3 linked regions of the Stegostoma tigrinum genome follow. The protein of the gene in region 2 interacts with the protein of the main gene of each other region in a biochemical or structural test. Links are inferred from orthologs where the notes say so. Each region holds a gene or a part of one and is shown on either strand. Other genes may lie near its edges. The genes, in order: kpnb1, kpna2 and cse1l.

Region 1 (7,386 bases), on a different chromosome or scaffold from region 2:
AGTGACAAGATGAGTGTTCCATTCCTAACAATGATGGAAAAATTCAGTCCTATTGCATCAGCTCATATTTACTTTGTTGTCTACCACTATTCCAAAGTGGTGTACAATACTTGTCTTTTTCTAGCACTTATTCAAGCAGGATTTCGTTTTTATGTCCCATCTTCTTCTAATATCACATGCACTTTTCAAAACTTTTACTCACCTTTCTTCTTGCTATTGATTCCTAAACAGTTTCCAGTGGCTACAAAATTCCTTAAGCTGTATTACATGGTCCAGCTGATTGAATTAACCAGCTCAGTTTTAGATCTGATTTGATACAGGATACAGTGTCTGACAGCAGGTAAATCTCTAAAGCCAGGATCTGATAGGAAGCCCCTCCATATCATACCTAAGCTTAAGTCAAGCCTGTATTTTTTTTAGTTGTTAGGTTTTACTAAACGTGCAGGAAAAGGCTATGAAAATATAGCTAATTTTTCCAAAAGCTGACAGTTTTCAGAAATTCTGCAATCTACAATTTAAGGCCATACAATTAGCCAAATTAATAAGTGGTAAAACACTACATACAAAGTCAAATGTACTTCCAAAGAAATGGCTTGAAATTTGCAATTAAAATAATTAGAGATTAAAATGCAATTTACTGCTATTTCTACTGACTTCAAAGCAATTTTAAGTTTCCAAAATTACCTGATTTACACACATTAAGTAACCTTGTTTAAAGCAAAAGATGAGAAATCATTGTCAAATGTGCAAATCCACAGTAACCAAAAAAGCACCAATAACCTTAAATAGGATGCAACAGAAAATCTCTAAAGAAACAAGCTCAAAATGCACGTGGTGACCTGCTAAAATAACTTGCATTTGGATTTAAAATATATTAAGATACATCTATCAAATTTAACAATGGTGCAACCCTAGTTAACCTATAAAATTTTAACAGTGACTAGACAAGATAAATGCAGGATGTTCTTAATAACCGTGAGTCTTGAACCAATGGTCACAGCTCAAGGATATGGAACTCCCCACTCAGAACAGAGATAAGAAATTTCAGCCAGAGGATGTTTAATCTCATGGAACACACTACCACAGAAGGTTGTGGAAGCCAAGTCATTGAGTATACTTAAGACAGACAGATGCTTGATTAGTAAGGTGGTCAGAGTTACACAGAGAAGAATGATGTTGAGAAGCCTATTAGCTATGATAAAATGGCAGAGCAGACTCAATGAGCCAATGGCTGAATTCTACACCTATATTTTAGGTTCTACATTTCTTCAACCAGAATGCAGTGAACTCTGCCACAGAAAGTAGTTGAGGCCAAAATATTAAATGTTCGAGTAGTTAGATATAGCTCTTAGAGCTAAAGGGATCAAAAGCATGCAGAAAGCAGACACGGTACCAAACTGAACAATCAGCCACAATCATACTGAATGGTGAAGCAGGCTCAAAGGGCCTGTACTTGCTCTTATTATCCATGTTTCTAAAAGGTTGAGGGAAGACTTAAATTACAGTCTATTGAAATACTTTGACAGTAGAAAGGAAGGTAGTTCTATTAGGATAGATTTGAAGCAACTGTCAAAAGAATTAGAGAAAGGTTGACAAGAATTGTTCTTCCATCAAGGAGCTAAGCAGGACCTCAAACACCATCTACTACGTTATAAGCAACTGATACCCTGAATGCATCAAAAAACTCAGATTTACACCCTAAATAGTGATCTACGTAGACCGAAACTGGGATATGAGCGAGGCTGTTTTCATTTGGTTCAAACCTAGAGGGCTAAACGGCGTCCCAGCACGTCTTAATGCGTTACAAATTGATTAACTTCCACAAACACCGGTTAAATAGAAACTTTCAACTGGTGTTAACCAAATGAAAAGATTACACGATAGCAACCCAGAAGAAAGCCAGACACATGATATCAAAACCTAAATTGTGCAAATCTTCAGGCTATTATTGAAAAAGAAATAATGCTTACGACGATTTAAACGCAGGGGTATAAAGGGCATAAATTTATCAGATAGCATAATGGATCCAGGCCTCCCCAGCCCCTCCATGCGTGGGGTAGGCTGTTCTCTCTCACACATAGGGAGGAGAGGATGAGCCGGCAACATGCGCTCAGGCCTCGACTCCCAGCTTCCCTTCCCATCAACCAAACTTGCGCAGAGCGGAAACCCAGCCTCTTCGGGGCGTCCTCATTGGCTAGCGGGCATGCCCACCGGCAATCTCCGGACTCTCATTGGCTGTCATGCCTTGTCAATCAACCGGGGTAATTCCTGCCAGCAAGTTAGGCTGTCATTTTTTTTCACTCCAGTTTCCCCCTCCCCCGCCCAAAAGGTTGGGGGGGGGGTGGGGGAGAAGAAGAGTAGAAAGGGGGAATTTTCTCAATGAATGCCCTTGATTTCCCTCCATTAAAATGGATAAAAAATTTTCCATCTTAAAAATCAAATAGCCAACCATACTCTCGCATCAGCCCACGCACATTTTTTTTTAAAAAGCCGAATTAGATCAAACCATCGCCCCCTTTACCCATTCAAAAAAAATGGAAACAGAATCCAATACTGACCAAATTCTCAACAGCCGCCTGTTCCAGAAACTTCTGCGCTGCTTCCAGCTCATTACGATCTGGGGAGGAGGGAGAGAAAAGAAAGAAAAGGGCGGGCGGGAAAAAAAATAATAATACAGTTTTAAAATACCACGAAAGAGAAAAATAATATTACTCCCTCTCCCATTAGACGCCTTACCTGGAGAGACGGTTTTCTCTAAAATTGTGATAAGCTCCATGTTAACGAATCTCATGTGGGAAACAACGAGGATTTTTCTCAGGCAGAAACGGCCATAAATGGTTCTGGGTCACTCAGATTCTGCTTCCTTTTAGAAAATATAACGTACATATACACCGCGGTGAGGGAAGATTAAAAAGAGCGATAGATAGATAAACAAGGGGTGGCAGCGTGGAATTTATTATGGATAACAACAGATATGCTGTATATTAGTGACTGTTTTCTCTTTCTCACTCGCTAATAACCAGAGCGCAAGCTTCTCTCACGCCTTCGCCCGGCTCCGCAGCTGCGCAAAAGCCGAGTGCCACCGGCGGCGGAGCGATATAGCAGCGGCCGCGCGCGCTGCTCCCTTCGCAAACTGCCGCTCCCCGTGACGCGCCTCCCCATTGGCCGAATCATTCACGGCGCACGTACCGCCGCTTCCATCTGATTGGTCCGTCTGTACGTCAATCGCCGCGAGCCATTGCCAAGTGGCCGAACCCCGCCATTATCACTGCTTCACCCACGCCTTCAACAGCTGCCCGGCCTGTCTAACAGGAGCTCCCATTGGCCCGTGACCGCCCAGGCGAGCCAACGCCTAATCGGATTGGTGGGTGTCGCCAGACGCAGTACACGCGCGCGCTTGTTCCGCTTTCCCACTGGCCGCCTAGCACTATCTAACGCGGTTTCTCATTGGCCAATCGTGCTTGGATATCGAACACAATCCCCGATTGGTAATGTCTTTACACACCGGCCATCAGTCATCCTATCTAACACAATCTCTTATTGGTCCATGACGCAAGTGCCGGTAAAAGCAATCGAATGCCACTTCTGATTGGAGGATAGCGCTGAGTGCATCACATCCTTTGAACGGCCGCCGTGTGTTATTTTACGCGACCTTCCACTGGCCTATCATTCCCATCCTACTGCTTATCTAAAGAGACTCTTGATTGGTTAAGCAGAGATGCTATAGCTCTTCAACGGCCGCTGCCTGATGCTATTCAAGGCGTCCTCTGATTGGCTGAGCGGCTGTAGCCTCTGTTGAAGGCCGAATTTCGAATTGGAGCCGATGACCCCTCCCTCCCGTCCTTGAGACCGTTTTCGGGGGAGGGTTATGTCTGTACTTTTCCCACTTGACTCCGCCCAGGGCCTGCCTCCATCCTGGGACACTTGGTCCAGTTTTACTCTAAATTCCGGGGGGAGGGGGCATCGGAGCGTCTCCTCCGCCAATCAGACCGATCGCATCGGCGGGAGAGAAACCTCATTTTCAGTGGAAAAGCTTCTGCACGAAAGGAGCAACCGGCGTCCGGAGAAAGTCTTTATTTTTGTGTGCGTATGGGTTGCCTTCGGCGCCTAAATTCAAAGGGGGTGCGGTTGACGAGGTTAAAAGTTGAGGGCACTACTTTACGGTGGCGAATGGAGATGCGGCTGTTGCTGATGAGTGAGGCGGTTCTGGTTTGTATTTCCCGCCGTTTCCAGGGAAGAGAGCGCTGCCGTTTGTATTGACCATCTCCACTATCTATCCCAAAAAAACCAACTCTACTCAGCATTGTAATGCTGCTTTCTGAAACCACGAATCACTGCAAACATTTCTCTCCTCTTTGCATCCTCCGAGCTGCTTCATAAGGTGTATTTAATGCAATAGAAGGAGAAGGATATTGGGGGTGGACTCGTGTGATAGTCACCTTGATTCCTTGACTGGAACATTTCGAGGCAGATTTTACTTAAGGATCTTTCCTCATGTAAGGGGGTCGAAACTGTTCAAACTATTCTAGGTATGACTGATTCGTGCTGTATAACAGTCTTTTGTGCTGCGAATTTGTGTTTAATGCTCTCCTACAAATAGCAGAACTGTAACTGCACGCTGCCAACACTTATAAAGATCCATCCATCGTTCAATGCAAAGATGGTGGAAGCAGATCTAATAATAACTTAAATACGAATTCAATGCATACTTAAATGAAGAAAATATGCAAGGAATTAATTTAGTTGGAGAACTGTGTTTAAAGAATTGGCATTGCATAGTGAGTCAACCCTGCTTGGGAGGATTTTAAAATCAACCCAATGAGATTTGAATCACAAAAAATCCAGCTGATTTTCCCCTTACCCAGATTGGAAGAATGAAGCACCATATAAATTATTGAGTTTTTTTTCTCCCATTGTGCTCATTCACTACTTCCTATATTTGTTGCGTTGTGGTACACCATTTCAAAGACAGTGAATTGATGACATTTGGCTCCAGGTGCAGAAAGACTGTGATTATGAACATAATGGAAGGAGGCAATGGGATCCCTTTAAACAATTAGCTTCTTATATGCTCAAATGGATATTTTTCCAGAGTGCTTCGGAGATGATTACATTTGTTGATGCCATGTTGGACCTGAGAAACTTTAAAAAATGATTCATTGCAGTACCATCCATTGACATTTTTAACAACAAAAGCAGAAATTGCTGGAAAAGCTCAGCAGGTCTGGCAGCATCTGTGGCAAAAAAAAATCGGAGTTAAAGTTTTGGGTTGAGTGACCCTTCGTCAGAACTGTTTTGATTTACAGCATCTGCAGTTCTTTCAGTTTTCATTTTGATATTTTAACAACACTTATTGTTGGTAGAACAGCCCATGGTGCTTCAAAGGAGCATCATCAGACACATTTAATGCTGATTCAAAGGCAGTGCCAGACAGGTGATCAAAATCTTGGTCTGTGTGGTAGATTTTAAAACACTGGTCAGCAGAAAAGGAATTCTATAGTTTAAGATCTGCTCAACTGAATGCACATTTGACAATAACAAAAACAGAAATTTCTGGAGAAACTAAGCAGGTCTGACAGCTTTACGGAAAGAAAGCAGAGTACATTTTTCAGGTCTGGTGACTCTTGCATGCTAAAGAAGCTTCAGTGGATCCAAAACATTATCTCTTCTTTCATCCTCTACAGATGCTGCCAGACCTTCTGAAGTTCCCCAAAGTTTTTCATTTTTATTTCAGATTTTCAGCATCTGTAGTTCACTTGATTTTTGTTTGCATTGACGATAATACTGGGCCACGTGGATTGGGTTTGTAGAAAAAGCCAATGTCAAACAGCACGAGGAACAGGATCCTGGAGGGAACTTAATATAATGGTGTGAATTTGAAAATTGGGGCATTCTTGGATTAGAAGCCAATTTAAGTGCATGACTGCAGTGGGCGAGTATGACTTGCTGCAGGTTGTGATTGTTGAATATTTATGGCACAGATGGAGGTCTTTTGGCCGATCGTGTCTGCACTGGCTGCCCAACAAGCAGGGAGTAGTTTTGAATGAGCCCACAGTTATGGAGGGAGGCCAGTGTAGAGTGTGCTGAACCAGTTAATTCAGAAGAGAATGAAATGAGTTTTAACAGCAGATAAGCTGATGCATGGTGGAGGTATGGGTAGCTGGTCTTTATTGTTGATACAGTGCAAAAACTTGTGGTATAAGTGTGTGCCACATAGAACAGTTCACATCTTATCTGACTGCTGGCTTTATTGCCTTCGCCTCCTCTGTTTAGATTACAATCAACATTAGGATACGGGATAAAAGCAGAAAATATTGGAAAAGATCTAGCAGCATCTATAGAGGGGATCAGAATTAATGTGTCTAATCTGTGACCTTTCAGCTGACCTGAAATATTAATTGTTTCTGCTCTGCATGTGTTGCCAGAGCTGTTGAATATTTTCAGCAGCTTTTCTTGTTGTTTCAGATTTTTAACATCTGCAGTATGTTGCTGCTCAAAATTGGGCCTCTACAGCACCTGGGTAGAGATTTCAAAATATTCACCCTCGCCTTCTACTTGATCAAGATGTTCTACTCATCTCAATCCTGACAGCGCAGAAGCAAAGATGTTAAAATGTATTAAGATATTTTTAAAAATGGTATGCAGAAGAAGATGGTGTTAGAAGAATATGATCAAGTGAGGGCTGATCATGTTATAATCTAGTACCAAAACAGAAGCAATGAAATGATAACTGTGCAAAAGAAATAATAAACCTGGACCAGTAACACAAATACTGGCTACAAACACAAGTCATAGGTGGTGTATTTTGCAGCAATTGACTCACCTGTTCCGTACATCACATACCTGACTTGTTTTCTGTAAATGATGAAATACTCTCCGATTGTCTGGTACTCATAGTTTCTGTATCCTTAACTCTTTAATTCCAATTTATGAAATCATTTATATAGGTGCAAGTGCTTTTCATTCTTGTAGATCTTACTTCCCATAATACAATTGCCTTTTTTAGACAGGCTATCTTAAAACCTGGTATGCTAGGCCAATAAGGGCTCCATAAGAGTGTTTCAATGTTGAGTTAAGGAGGACGAATTTCAAACATTTACCACACAGAGGAAGGCCAGTTAGCTCATCATGTTTGGCAGCCAGAAGAAAGCGGTCAACTAATTTTCTAGATTTTGGTTGGTAGCCTGATAGGTACAGTACTTCAAGTGAATATTCAAATACTTTTTAAATGCAATGAGAATTTCTCCTCTCCCACCTTTCTAGGCAGAATTATCACTCTTTGGGTGGGGGAAGAAGCCACGATCATGATATATAGTGGAGCAGGCTTGAGGGTCTGAATGGCTTACTTTTCCTTTTTTTTAAAATATTCTTATGATAACTTCTCCC
Region 2 (7,511 bases):
CCCTTCACTGGAACATAAGCCTTGACCTCTAGCTATCACACTTTTAAAGGCCTCCCACTTGCCAGGAGTCCCTTTGTCTGCAAACTACTCAAAAGTCAATCCATGAAAGCTCCTCAAATTTTCATAGAATTAAGGCTTACCCCAATTTAGAATTTGAACCTGCTGAGCAGTTTTGCCCTTCTCCATAACCCTTAAGAGTTCTTCAAGGCATACTACCCAGAGTTTAAGCTCGATTGTTGAATCAAAACCCTGAAAAACTATCTTTCTAACACTAGGTGATTAGAGACTTCAGTCATTGAAGGCTGTACACTGCCATGTCCAAGGGTGTTAGGGGAAAGGCAGGAGGAAAGAATAAAGTGCCATATAGCCAGTGATTTCCACATTACATTAATTAGTTTTTTTTTAAAAAACGTTAATTTCTACTAGCTGTTCTACTAGGGCAACAGTCAGCCAATTTACATGCTCCATTTTGCAAAGAACGAACATTTCTATATTTAAAAAGTAGTTAGTTACCTGCAATGTTTCCTAAAGCCCATACTGCTTGTTCACTGATATGTGGATGTGGAGATGCCAACAGATTGATGAATGCTGGTATTGCACCACCATCAACAACAGCCTTAGTCTGATCAGATGTTCCAGACGCTATGTTGGTGAGGGCCCATGCAGCTTCAAACTGGATGGGGCTACAATTAAAAGTAGCAAGAAATCCCACAAATCTGGGGATGAGCCCAGCTTGAATAATTTTGTCAATGGGAGGATGTTTCTCCCTAGAAAGCAGCTTCCTGAAAAGAAAAAGCAGCTTAAAAAAGTGTACTGACAACTATTGTCTGACTTGTAATACAATGTAAACACCAACAGAATGGTTGTGAAATCAACCCTCTGGCCAGAAAGAGCACAGAAAAGACTAAAATCAGTTCTTAAAATTTTGGTCCAAAAAATCCTAGGTATTATCCCTCATTATTAACAATTGTTTAAGATAAAGAACTTTATACAATTGGACTACCTTACCAATTAGCTGGTGAAAAGTCAATTTTGTCAATTGTAGGTTGGAGAGCATCTTGCATGACCTAAAATGGTATTTGTGCAGTTCTGATACTCTATAGGAAAGATGTGGAAGTTTTGAAGGTGCAAAAAAGATTTTACCTGATACTAGATAATAAAGTGTGGAGCTGGATGAACATAGCAGGCCAAGCAGCATCTCAGGAGCACAAAAGCTGACGTTTCAGGCCTAGACCCTTCATCCTCCAGAGGGAGGAGGGTAACTACTTCAGGTTAGGCATCCCTGGAAGAGGCTTTGCAGTGAGGTTAAAATTGTATCAGTGATAATGGATTCTCCAGCATTTGCAGTTCCCAAGATAATAAAGTGTGAAGCTGGATGAACACATCAGGCCAAGCAGCACCTCAGGAGCACAAAAGCTGACGATTCTCCAGCATCTGCAGTTCCCATTATCACTTTTACCTGATGCTGGCTGGATCGGAATACATTAGCTTTAGCAAGGGATTAGACAAAAGATTTTTCACAAGAGCACAGGCTGAGGTGCAACCTGAGCAGTATATAAACAAGGCATAAGATAGGGTGCAAAGTTGGAGTCTGGAACTAGAGTCAGTGTTACAAAAGATAGAAATGGGCAAAACGAAGCCTCAAGTTTTAGTGAAACCCAAACATATGCAGGAATCAGATCAGGGCTCAGTTATTACATGAAGGAGGTAGTGCTAGACAGCCTCATTTTGACCGAACACTGGCCACGTGAACCAAAAATAGACTCCAAAATCACTAGTGAAATATCATTCCCTCCAAAATTGGCAAATCCATTTTTTAAAACTCCAACAGCCAGTTTGAAAAAAATTAGTATAGCACTATTACACAAAAAACCCACTCAAATATAGTCCTGAAGTGACAAGATACAAGTATTTTTACTCCCAGTATCGCGATTGCAGACAGACATGGACTGGTTCCTTTAAACATATCCCAGTGTCCCATAACTGGTGCTTGAATTCTCTGCATTACTTTCAAAAGACTCAAGGTATTTTACATTTAAAATTTCTAACTACAATGGGAGACACCCATTCTTACCTGGCAGCCTGAGTTGCTTGGAGTTGAGTTTCCAAATTATTACTCTGGATACCTTGGATTATTTCATCCAAATTCAAAGGCACCTGATTTTCATGAAAACAGCAAAGTTTTTAGTAGCCAAAAAGCAAGTCATGAATTTTAAAACAGGATTCCTTCGAGAATACAGTACCTGGATATTGTTCTTTTCTTGAAGTGGAGATACATTCTCATCAGGAAAATTGTTCACGTTCCTCCTTTTAAACAGCTGGTCGTCTTTTTTAGCTTTCCGCAGCTCAACATTGGTTTCAATTCTCCTGCGTCTCAACTCCTTTTAAAAAGGAGTGGAGAGGGAAAATGGAACCAAAATTAGGCCATGTATTGATGGCGATGATAAAAGTTACGAAAAAGCTTAAAATAATACCATCTTACATTAGCATCTTTCCCCTTGTTCTTAAACTTGATCAGGCGGCTGAAGGCGTTCTCGTTGGCCGTGGTTGACATATTTCAACTTGAATTAACTTGGCAAAAACTGTACGAAACAAAGTAGACAAGAGTTAGTCACAGAAAGCGTGCTTCGACAGGCGGGGAAGATTTTTAGACACTTTGGAAAGATGCTACAACGTAGAAAAATTAACAATTTTGTTCTTTTTAAAAAAATTACACTGCATCCAGATTAAAAAGTTAGCAACAATTACGTTTCAGCATTTAGATTAATTGCCTGTTTAGACAAAAGTCATTTACAGCGAAAGATGAACAAGTCTTACATACTTGCGGAAGCTGAGACAAAGATTTAAAGGGGAGATTTTCCGTTAAGGTTACTGGAATTTAATTAGTCGTGAAAAGGAAAAAAAACTTATCGCTATTAAACGAGAACAGCAGTTGAACTAATCACAAGATTTACAAAGTGCACTTAACTGCAATATTAAAGCAAGCCGTTTACAACTTATAACCTTCCGCTAGTAAAACACTATTACCAACAGAAATGCAAGCTTGGAAGCCGCTCCAGCTATTTAAACCGGCTGAGTTGCCCGGCTCCCATTGGTTCATTCGATTCAAAGCAATATTTCAATTGGCTGATTTGAAAGAAGCTGAGGATGCGGTTGGATGGATTCCCATACCAACCGCGCAGCCAATCAAGTAAAGGATATTAAAAATACTACTCCGTGCATAGCGCCGTCTCTGGCGCGGTCTTTTGTTGTTTTGCGCGTTAAAGGAGCTCGAAACATTACTTCCTCTTTACTCTTTTGTTCTTCCACGTGGTATTAAAAATACTGCTGATTTAGGAATAAAAATTGCTGGAAACACTCACTAAAGTCACGTCTTTGTCTCTTTTGCAACGTCTTCGGAAAACCTCTCAAGTTATGTGTGGTTGACCGCTCAGTAATTCATACAGGATAACATAGTTTTATGTCCTGTGCCTTCGAACTTTTACGGCAAAGGAGTCTGTGCTTGGTCCTTCCCCATTCCCCCACTACCAGTGGCAACCTCACACTGAGTGATTCTCCTTGAAGTTGATTTTCATATCTTGGTCCTACTATTAACCACAACCCCACCAAAACTTCCTGAGAGACCAGTTCCTGGCAAAACATTTAAAGAATAGTTTGGCACAGGGTCAACGTGTAATAACTCTGGGGGCATGAGGTGGGGCTGTGGCACTTGTTGCCATACATATGAGAGATGTGGAAATATATCACTAACAATACCCTGTTTTTCTCATTCAGTGCAAGGAACAATGGCCTCAAGTGTAGCTCATTGTCATACTGCTACACACCAGTGTAGGACAGTCCATAACAGTTATTGAGTCATAGAGTCAAACAGCACAGAAACAGACCTTTCAGTCCAACTCACCCACGCATACCGCATTTCCCAAACTAAGCTAGTCCTACTTGCCTGCATTTGGCCCATGTCCCTCTAACCCTTTCCTATTCACGTACCTGTCCAAATGTCTTTTAAATGTTGTAACTATACCTGCAACAACCACTTCCTCTGGTAGTTCATTCCACATACAAAACGCCCTCTGTATGAAAAAGTTGCCTCTCAGGTTCCTTTTAAATCTTTCTCCTCTCACCTTAAAATTTCCTCCCAGTTTTGAACTCCACCACCCCAGGGAAAAGACCTTTGCTATTCACCTCATCTATCCTGGCAAATCTTTTCTCAACCATCTCCAATTTAACAATATTCTTCCTATAGAAGGAAGTCCAGTACTGTAGACAGTCCTCCAAAAACATGCCTTAGCATCTTAATATAATTCCTGTACACTTGTGACTGCGTGGCCAAATTTCATCCTAACTCCATCAACAAGTTTGCTGACAACACCACCACTATAGGTTGGATCTCAAACAATGACAAGACAGAATACAGGAAAGAGACACAGTGCTTGGTAGCATGGTGTGAAGATAACAATCTTTCCCTTCACATTAGAAAAATGAAAGAGCTGGTCATTGATTTCAGGAAACAAGGTGGAGGACACTCCCCTATCTACATTAATCGTGCTGAGTTAGGGATAGCCAAGAGTGAAGTTCCGAGGCGTGGCAATCACCAACAATCCATGTTGATACAACAGTCAAGAAAGCACAACAATGCCTCTTCTTCCTCAGGATGCTATGGAAACTTGGCATGTCTATAAAGGCTCTTGCCAATTTTTAAAGATGAAACATAGAAAGCATTCTATCTGGATGCATCATGGCTTGGTATGGCAACTGCTCTGCCCAGAACTAGAAGAAACTACAGAGAGTTGTGACACAGCTCAGAACATCGTGCAAGCCAACCTTCCATCCATTGACTCTATCTATACTTCACACTGTTTCGGGAGGGCAGCCAACATAATCAAAGCCCACCCCAGTTATACTCTTTTCCAACCTCTTCTATCAGGCAGAAGGTACAAAAGCTTAAACATATGAACCAACAGATTCAAGAACAGCTTCTTCCCCACTATTAACATAGTGTGAAGCTGGAAGAACACAGCAGGCAAAGCAGCATCAGAGGAGTAGGAAAGCTAACATTTCGGGTCAGGAGCTTTCTTCAGAAATCTTCAGGTTTTTCCAGCTCCATACTATGTTATCTCAGACTCAAGCATCAGCAGTTCTTACTATGTCTTCTTCGCCACTGTTGTTAAATTTCTGAATGGATCTCTCAAATTTTAAATTTAATGTTAATCGTGTTCTTTGTGTATCTTCTCTGAGCATAACATTGTATTCCTTGTTCTGTTCTATTACCCTTATACACTTTGTATGATATGATCTGCCTGTACTACACACAAAACAAAACTTTTCACTGCACCAAGGTACATGTGACAATAATAAATCAAATCAAATCACCAAAACCCTGTACAACCTCAGCATGATATACTCAGTGGTCTGAACAATGAATGCAAGCATTCTAAACACCTTTTTAACCATCATTTCTACATGTGATGCAAATTTCAAAGAACTTTAATCCTTAGATCCCTAAGTCTCTCTGTTCGAAAACACTACTCCGGGCCATATCATTAACTGTATAAGTGCTGCCTGTGTATAAGTGCTGCCTGTGTTTGTTTTATCAAAATGCAATAATATTTATTCAAATTTTACTCCATCTGCCACTGCTCAAGCCATTGGCCCAATTGATCAAGAACCTTTGTATTCTTAGATAATCTTCTTCACTACCAACTTTGGTGTCATCCACAAACTTACTAAATATGCCTCCTAAATTCTCATCCAAATAGTTTATATAAATGACAAACAATTGATTTTAGATCTAGATTTAGGTTTTATTGTCATGTGTACTCAAGTACATGGCACAAGAGCACAGTGAAAAGTGTACAACGTCACCACATATGGTGCCATCTTATGTACAAAGTACTTAGGTACAAAATTTTAGTTACAGAAATAGAAATATAAAGTAATAAGTTTAAAAAGTTCAGCACTACAGTGCACTTAGCATAAATGTTGAAAAATAGAAAAATAAAGTTAAAATGTCAAGCATTACAGTCTTAAGCTATGGGCCTACAGATGCTTAAAGCTGGGCTTTCCCCAAGACACATCACTCTCCCTAGCGCTGGGAATGCTTACGCTGTGCTGGGCCAAGACCTGCCCAGGCACATCAGGCTTCATCAGCACTCACAAGGCTTTGGCCGCAACCACCACATCACTGCTGCCACCATCCTTTGCCGCTAGCTGCCAATTGTTGTCTCACTGTCACATTGGGGCCCAGCCACTGGCATGTTCTTTTGCTGCCGCTGCCTCCACAGCATCCAAAAGGTAATTAAGAAACTACTTAAAAAAAGAGAAAAGAAGATAAAAACAGAAAAAGGAAAGCTGGCAGAATGGATGAGATCTGGGCACAAAATCCCAGACAGTGCTTATCCACTGCTGCCATCTTGAATAGTTTTGATCAGAACCATTCCTAATCTTGAACGGAACTATCAGCATGGTGGCCTCACAGTACCAGGGACCTGGGTTCAATTCCAGCCTTGGGTGACTGTCCATGCGGGGTTTGCACATTTTCCCTGTGTTTGTGTGGGTTTCCTCCCACAGTCCAAAGATGTGCAGGTTAGGTGGATTGGCAATGCTAAATAGCCCATGATGTCTGGGGAAGGAAATTTCGTGATAGGGTACGGGCTCGGTCTAGGTGGGATGCTCTTCAGAGGATTAGTGTGGACTTTATGGACTGAATGGCCTGCTTCTACACTGTAGGGAATCTATGATCTCAGATCTTGAACAGAACGATCTATCCTAGTCCAAATGCATGTAAATCCTATCTCTCAGAATCCCCTCCAAAAACTTGCCCACCACTGATATCTGACTTACCAATCTATAGTTCCCAGGCTTCTCCTTACAGCCTTTCTGAAATAAAGGCACAACATTAGCCACCATCTCGTCCTCTGGCATCTTATCCTTGGCTGCAGATGATATAAATATCTATACTAGGGGCCCTGTAATTTCTTCCCTAACTTCCCAAAATGTCCTGAGATATACTTCATCAGGCCTGGAGATTTATCCATCTTTGTGTTTTTTTTAAGACCCCCAGCACCTCCTCTTCCACAATATGGATTGTTTTCAAGACATCAAAATTTATTTCCCAAGCCTCCATGTCTTTCTCCACAGTAAAAACTGACACATTTATTATCTCTCCCATCTCCTGTGGTTCAACACATAGATGACCTCAATGATTTTTAAGGGACCCTATTCTCTCAGTAGCTGCTCTTTTGCTCTTAATGTACTTGTAGAATCTCTTTGGATTAACCTTAATCTTATCTGCCAAAGTTATCTCATGTTATCTCATCTCTCTTTTTGCCCTCCAGATTTCTCTCTCAAGAATGCCCCAACACCCCTTATATTCTTCAAGAGATTCTAGATCCCAGTTGTCTATACCCAATATATGATTTCCTCTTATTCTTGACCAAAGCCTTGATATCTTTATTCATCCATTGTTACCAGCCTTACCCTTCAATCTAACAAGAACATAATGCCTCTGAACT
Region 3 (7,136 bases), on a different chromosome or scaffold from region 2:
TTTTAGACAGTTATGTCAAGTCCTCAGGTATGCTACAGATAAAGATTAAAGAAAAACACTTCCATCCTTCATAATTAAAGCACTACTTCACCATTGGACATCTGTTAACTCTTTCCTTTTGTATGCGTTTAGATGCCCTATTTACTGCATGTTCTCTCATATATCCAATCACCTCTTCTGAATAAAAACCAAAAGAATTGTGCATGCTGTAAAATCAGAAACAAAAGCACAAGTTGCTGGAAAAGCTCAGGTGGTCTGGCAGCATCTGTGAACAGAAGTCAGAGTTAACATTTTGGGTCCGTTGGCCCACTGAACAAGAACTTTTCGAGCAACTTCTGTCTTTATTGCAGTTCTTCTAAATTCTCAATTTGCTTTTCTTCAGCATTTTCCTGTAATCCTTATGACTGGCCTCAATTCTGCCATATGCCACCATCTGAAGATTCAGTTTATTGTTGATGTGGCAATTGAACCATGAAACGTAATATTTTGTGGGTCAATAAAAACCAATACCTGAATTTTCCACAACAGTTCATAACTTGTAAGGCTGCCTTAGAAGCAAACCATGACATAAGAATGCTCATAAAGGAAACTTCAAACTTTGTGGTGAAAATGCACGATCAGCTCACAAGCTTACTGAGAGGGGTTATGGAAATACAATTAACATGCAATAAGTAACAGCACCAAAAATCGGCAGCAAATCTCAGACAAAATACTAACATCATTATTTGGGTACTAACAGACTTGCTGCAGGTTTATTATGGAAATATTCTAAATTACTATCTTTTAACAACAAAGACAAGCTGATGAAAAGGAATAGAAATAACAGTCAAGGTAACTTCATCAGTAGATAAAATATAAGATTATGTATATTAATTGAGCTCTTTTACTAAGTTTAAATAATGTATAAATTCAGTAAGACATAACCAAGTAAACAGAAAGATTGTTTACAAACTGACACAAAGATAAATTTGAGACTACATTAAATAGGGCTTCCAACAGAAATATATTAAAATAGCAGGGACTGTGACAACTATGCATTACATAAACTCAAAGTAACATTGTTATGCAGCGTCTCAGTTCTGTTTCTTTGCTGACAGGTATGCATCACACAAGGTGATCAACTATCTCAGAATTTACAGGACCATCCCATATTTCAGGCAGTTCAACACTTCAACTTAATGGCTCCTAGGACACATCTCGTCTCTTATTTTCCTCAACTACCTCTTACCTGTAGTACTGTATTCTGCTCCTGGCAGCCCACTCAACCACTGTCAACATCTACCCTTGCCCCAATGCCACTATATGACTATTTCTGCATCATTAAATAGCACACAGAAGCAGCACCACACACCTTCAGCTTGAACACCAATGACAAGATTAAGTTACACAAGTCAAACAGACTAATGAATGTTAGCACACGTGCATCTCACTACATCGTATTACAAGACATAGGTGTTGCTGATGTATTAGCCTTCAAAAAGTAAGAGGGGAATATTTCAGAAACACTGCCAAAGGCCATTGAATTCACCACTATACTACTGATAAGATTTTGACAAAAATTAAGAAAATCTGACATCTGTTTTGCTTTGCCAAATCCCACAATTAACACAATAATATCAATGATGTGCCTCTGGATGCTCATACATAACAGCCTATGAAGGAATCATGAGTTGGGGAGTTATCCTGAAGGTCTTGATCCACATTTATCTTTCAATCAACAATACAAGATTATTTGCTCATTGTCTGATACAGCGTTGACTCTGGACAATCGAGATGTCGTACATTACGACAGTGATTACATTTCAATGTACTCATTGATTATAAATGCCTGAAACATCTAGTGACCGCGAAAAGAACCATAGAAAAATATAGTTTCCTTTATTTATAATAGCACGAACTACACAGATGCGTCAAATGCAACTGAACCTCACAACAGCCAAGACGCTTCAGTACTGCAAGTGGAAACGAAGTGCAAGCCCCGTATAACAAGTTTACACTTACTCTGTCGTTTATGAACGAGAGCACAGATGCAGAATAAAACAAAAAAACACCAACAGGCTCTATCTTTCTCAGATCGAAGTGCATCAGAGAGAACGTCGCTCGGGCAGGGAGGATAAAGTTTCGTGAAGGCCTCAACAAGAATTAAACTCGACTTCAGTATGGACTAGTGTCAAATCTACTGATCAGCTTCAACTTCAGAACAGCTTATCTTATTTCTAAAAATATTGATTGGCTGGCACTCTCGATTGGGCTGTCTGAAATCGCTTACACTTAGCAAACAGAATACTAGATTTTGTAATATACATTTTTGACCCACCGCGTGCTTCATAATAAGAAACTTGAAAGGGCAGCTTGTATAGCCATATACGTAGCGCGCTAAGCTAAGCAGCGAGGGCAACAAAACATTTCCCATCGGAAAGCAGCGCAGCTTCAAGACCCAGCGCAAGGCCTGGTACAAATACGGCCACAACCGAACATGTTGCACGTAGACCAGTGATTGACAGCTGGGCCAAACAATCACGAAGCCAAACTGCAGATATTTGCCCGCCCCATCACCAATCAAGGTTGACCAGGAGAGGGAGCAGCATGTTCGGTTGAAGTATAGGTTCACGTTGGGCCGAGGGTTGGGCCCGACTGAAAACTGCCTTCCTTCCCGATCCATTCGAACAAAAGCGAACTGGTAGCCAGGCCGCCCACTTTCGACGCCTCGTAAACGGCAGTGTACCGACTTCTGGACAGTCGCTTTGTGGAAGTCGCTGCATCGACAACATCCGCCGGGATCATGAGCCCCTTTTTGAGACTGAAAAAAATGGGCCTAGCTCTTCAAAACAGAAGACAGGCGACTCAGGATCGGTCCGTGGAGATCGCAGGGAGCGGACAAAGATCTAAAAGGCCCAGTTTCTCTTACCTTCTTTATCTTAAGTCGAAATGATTTCAGACCCGAAAATCTGCTCCCCGTTCAGGGCTCGTTCAAACACAAGGAAAATGGCGCGCTGCCTAACGCAGGCATGCGCACTACGATCGGCCCCCAACACATCGCTCTTGCGCATGCGCACTGTCCGCCCCCTTCGCAACAGCTGCGTGCCGGCGGCCTCTCGGCCCTACGGTCCCGTACGGGATATGGCTACGTCTGCAGGTATTGTCCATTCCTCATTCCTCTGAAAAAGAAGGCACAGCAATCTTTACGCTGTTGTGGAGAAACGAGATCCGGTTCCGGGATTTTGACCTGGCCATGTTGAAGAAACGTCGATAGACATCACAAGCCCCTCCCCCTACTACATCCCAAAACCAGCCCATCTTGTCCCCGCCTCCCTAATCTGTCCTTCCTCTTACCTATCCCCTCATCCCACCTCAAGCCCCACCCCTATCTCCTACCTACAAGCCTCATCCCGCCCCCTTGACCTATCCCCTCCCTACCTACACTCGCCTTTACTGACTCCATGGACCGTAGGAACTGCAGGTGCTGGAGAATCTGAGATAACACGGTGTGAATCTGGATGAACACAACAGGCCAAGCAACATCAGAGGAGCAGTAAAGCTTGACGTTTCGAAATCCCCACCTCTTTGATCTGTCTGTCTCCTCTCCACCTATCTTCTCCTCTATCTATCTTCTATCCGCCTCCGCCTCTCGCTATTTATTTCAGAACAGCGTTTTACTGTCCCATTTCTGAAGAACGGTCTAGCCTCGAAACGTCAGCTTTCCTGCTGTTATGATGCTCCTTTGCCTGCTGTGTTCATCCAGCTTTACACCTTGTTGTTTCCAAGTCAGTAAGATGTGCGAGGTAACAAAGTGTGAAGCTGGATGAACACAGCAGGCCAAGCAGCATCTCAGGAGCACAAAAGCTGACGTTTCGGGCCTAGACCCTTCATCGGAGAGGGAGCTGGAATAAATAGGGAGAGAGGGGGAGGCGGACTGAAGATGGATAGAAAAGAAGATAGGTGGAGAGGAGAGCATAGGTGGGGAGGTAGGGAGGGGATAGGTCAGTCCAGGGAGGACGGACAGGTCAAGGAGGCGGGATGAGGTTAGTAGGTAGCAAATGGAGGTGTGGCTTGAGGTGGGAGGAAGGGATGGGTGAGAGGAAGATCAGATTAGGGAGGCAGGGACAAGCTGGGCTGGTTTTGGGTTGCAGTGGGGGAAGGGGAGATTTTGAAGCTTGTGAAGTCCACATTGATATCATTGGGCTGCAGGGTTCCCAAGTGGAATATGAGTTGCTGTTCCTGCAACCTTTGGGTGGCATCATTGTGGCATCATGCAGAAGGCCCATGATGGGCATGTCGTCTAAGGAATGGGAGGGGGATTTAAAATGGTTCGTGACTGGGAGGTGCAGTTGTTTATTGCACCTCCGCTCAGTTCGCAACAAACAACTGCACCTCCTAGTCGTGAACCATTTTAACTCACCCTCCCATTCCTTAGATGACATGTCCATCATGGGCCTCCTGCAGTGCCACAATGATGCCATCCAAAAGTTGCAGGTACAGCAACTCATATTCCGCTTGGGAGCCCTGCTGCCAATGGTATCAATGTAGACTTCAGAAGCTTCAAAATCTCCACTTCCCCCACTGCATCCCAAAACCAGCCCAGCTCGTCCCCTCCCCCTACTGCATCCCAAAACCAGCCCAGCTTGACTCTGCCTCCCTAACCTGTTCTTCCTCTCACCCATCCCCTCCTCCAACCGCAAGTCGCACCTCCATTTCCTACCTACTAACCTCATCCCGCCCCCTTGCCCTGTCCGTCCTCCCTGGACTGACCTATCCCCTCCCCACCTATACTCTCCTCTCCACCTATCTTCTTTTCTCTCCATCTTCGCTCCGCCTCCCCTTCTCTCCCTATTTATTCCAGCTCCCTCTCCGATGAAGGGTCTAGGCCCGAAACGTCAGCTTTTGTGCTCCTAAGATGCTGCTTGGCCTGCTGTGTTCATCCAGCTTCACACTTTGTTATCTTGGATTCTCCAGCATCTGCAGTTCCCATTATCTCAGTAAGATGTGCGGTCTGGAGGAGAACTTATATGTGATGGAGTTCCCATAAATCTGTTGCCCTTTTCTAAGGAGTAGAGTCCTCATGTTTGGAAGGCACTTTTGAGGGAGCTTTGAAGAGTAATTGCAGTGCAACTTGTAGATGGTGTACACTGGACATTGGTGGTAAAATTGTGAATGGTATAGGTGATGAATGAGTCGCCAAGGGTTTGGACTGTATTCTTGAATGATGTTGAGTCACTTGAGTGTTGTTGAAACTGCATCTATCCAGGCAAATTGAGAACAGACCTTCATGCTCTTGGCTTTTAACCTTGAAGATAGTGCTGGCATTGGGTAGAGAGGTGGTGAGTTACAGACTGGAATTCCAAATCTCTCTCTTGATCTAGTAGCCATAGTATTTAGACATTTCATTCACTTTGTTCTGCTGCCACAAATAACCCAAGATGTTGGCAGCATGGAAAATCAGCCATAGCAGGGGAGATAGTTTGATTCTGTCTTGTTTAAGATGGTCATTACCTAATGTGTGTGGCACAAAAATCATTTGCTCCTTAACAAACTTAGACTGATGTTGTTAAGGCCTTACTGCATGACGACTGAAGGCAGCACAGTGACTCAGTGGTTAGCACTGTTGCCTCATGGTGCCAGAGACCTGAGTTCAATTCCAACCTTGGGCAACTGTCTATGTGGAGTTTGGCCATTGTCTCCAGTCTGCATGGGTTTCCTCTGAATGCTATGATTTACTCCCACAGTCTAAAGATGTGCAGGTTAGGTGGATTGGCCGTAGGAAATATAGGGTAGCGGGGTGGGTTTGGACAGGATGTTCTTCAGAGAGTTGGTGTGGACTTGATGGGCCGAATGGCCTGCTTCCACAGTGTGGGGATTCTGTGATTGAAATCTGTCAGGAATTTTCCCGTCAATATTACTACCTAAGACAAGGATACCTGAGATAGTAAGAACCGCAGATGCTGGAGTCAGAGATAACACAGTGTGGAGCTGGAGGAACATAGCAGCCCAGGCAGCATCAGCGGAGCAGGAAAGTTGATGTTTTAGGTCAACATCCTTCTTTCTGAGTTGCACTTACTGCTATTCTTGAATTAAAATATTACATTCTTCCAAATTGGCAAGTATCTTAGTACATCGGCTAACTCACACCAAGTCTCATTCAGCTTCTGGTCTTGTCCCATCTCATTTTAAAAGTTCTCAATTCCTTTGTCAGATATTTTCATGGTCTTACCCTTCCTAAGCTCTGTAACTTTCTTCCAACCTTCAGCCTCTGAGATCTGTCTTTCAGATTTGGCATTTTACAAACATCAGTGTTCATGCCTTCAGCAGTTTGAGCCTCAAACTCCAGCATTCCTACAAGTCACTTTATAAACAAGTTTAAAGAGCTTGGGGTTATCTAGACTGAACATTTTTGGAGATCATTCACCTGTCTTTAAGAGAATAAATGCAGTTGTTGAATTCATATTGTAGTGACAACACTTTGCACTGCTGCAGCATAACATTTCCACAACTGCTTCAGTGGAAAAGAAAGAAAATACTGAAGCTGCTGTAAATCTAAAACAAGCACTGAGAATGCTAGAGAAGTTCAACAGGTCTGCCAGTATCTGTGGGGGGTGAAAGAGAGCTAACTTTTCAATTTTGGTTACTTGTTCAGAAATTGGTAGTTCTGTTTTTCTGTCTCTGCAGATGCTGTCAGACCTTCTGAATCTTTTAAGCATTCACTCTGCTAGTTTATCTCGTTTATTTTGTTAAATTGATCAGTAATGTGATTATTTATCTTTCTGTAATGATTACTATGTCTCATTAAATATGTAATTGCAAATGGAAAACTGTTTAAGACTTGTATAAATTGACATCATTTTCAGCATTGCCTTCCCATCAGTTTTGACTTAGTAAACATGATGAAATCTTGCCTTATTAAACATGATGAAATTTTGTACAGAAATGGCCTTCCAGTGTGAAGATTTTGGCACTATCTCACTGTTGGCTACTCTGGTAATATTGAAACATTACAATCTGAGGATATTGCAAGTTCCAAGTGACATTACTGCCACAACTATTCTGGAAAAGCAGGATATCAGTCTTTACGAGAGATTTGATGGAAAATAAGTAATTAAATGTATGAATTAGTGGTTGAGATTACAGTGCCTAATGCATGG

What was found.
Region 1: the proteins of kpna2 (region 2) and kpnb1 form a complex in vitro, tested with the Homo sapiens proteins (6 studies listed by BioGRID and IntAct, with this or other methods). The link is inferred for Stegostoma tigrinum from reciprocal best matches to the Homo sapiens genes KPNA2 and KPNB1.
Region 3: the proteins of kpna2 (region 2) and cse1l form a complex in vitro, tested with the Homo sapiens proteins (2 studies listed by BioGRID). The link is inferred for Stegostoma tigrinum from reciprocal best matches to the Homo sapiens genes KPNA2 and CSE1L.

Annotation. Positions count from the first base shown.
Region 1 is NC_081384.1:5,015,142-5,022,527, forward strand, and holds the start of kpnb1 (importin subunit beta-1), read right to left. Parts: upstream 3,091-7,386; 5' UTR 2,792-3,090; coding exon 2,737-2,791; intron 2,618-2,736; coding exon 2,559-2,617; intron 1-2,558.
Region 2 is NC_081375.1:10,522,597-10,530,107, reverse strand, and holds the start of kpna2 (importin subunit alpha-1), read right to left. Parts: upstream 3,060-7,511; 5' UTR 2,969-3,059; intron 2,963-2,968; exon of another isoform or gene 2,822-2,962; intron 2,583-2,821; 5' UTR 2,555-2,582; coding exon 2,483-2,554; intron 2,382-2,482; coding exon 2,244-2,381; intron 2,158-2,243; coding exon 2,075-2,157; intron 783-2,074; coding exon 514-782; intron 1-513.
Region 3 is NC_081372.1:32,684,676-32,691,811, forward strand, and holds the start of cse1l (exportin-2), read right to left. Parts: upstream 3,044-7,136; 5' UTR 2,909-3,043; intron 2,449-2,908; exon of another isoform or gene 2,318-2,448; intron 1-2,317. UniProt on the Homo sapiens protein: Export receptor for importin-alpha. Mediates importin-alpha re-export from the nucleus to the cytoplasm after import substrates (cargos) have been released into the nucleoplasm.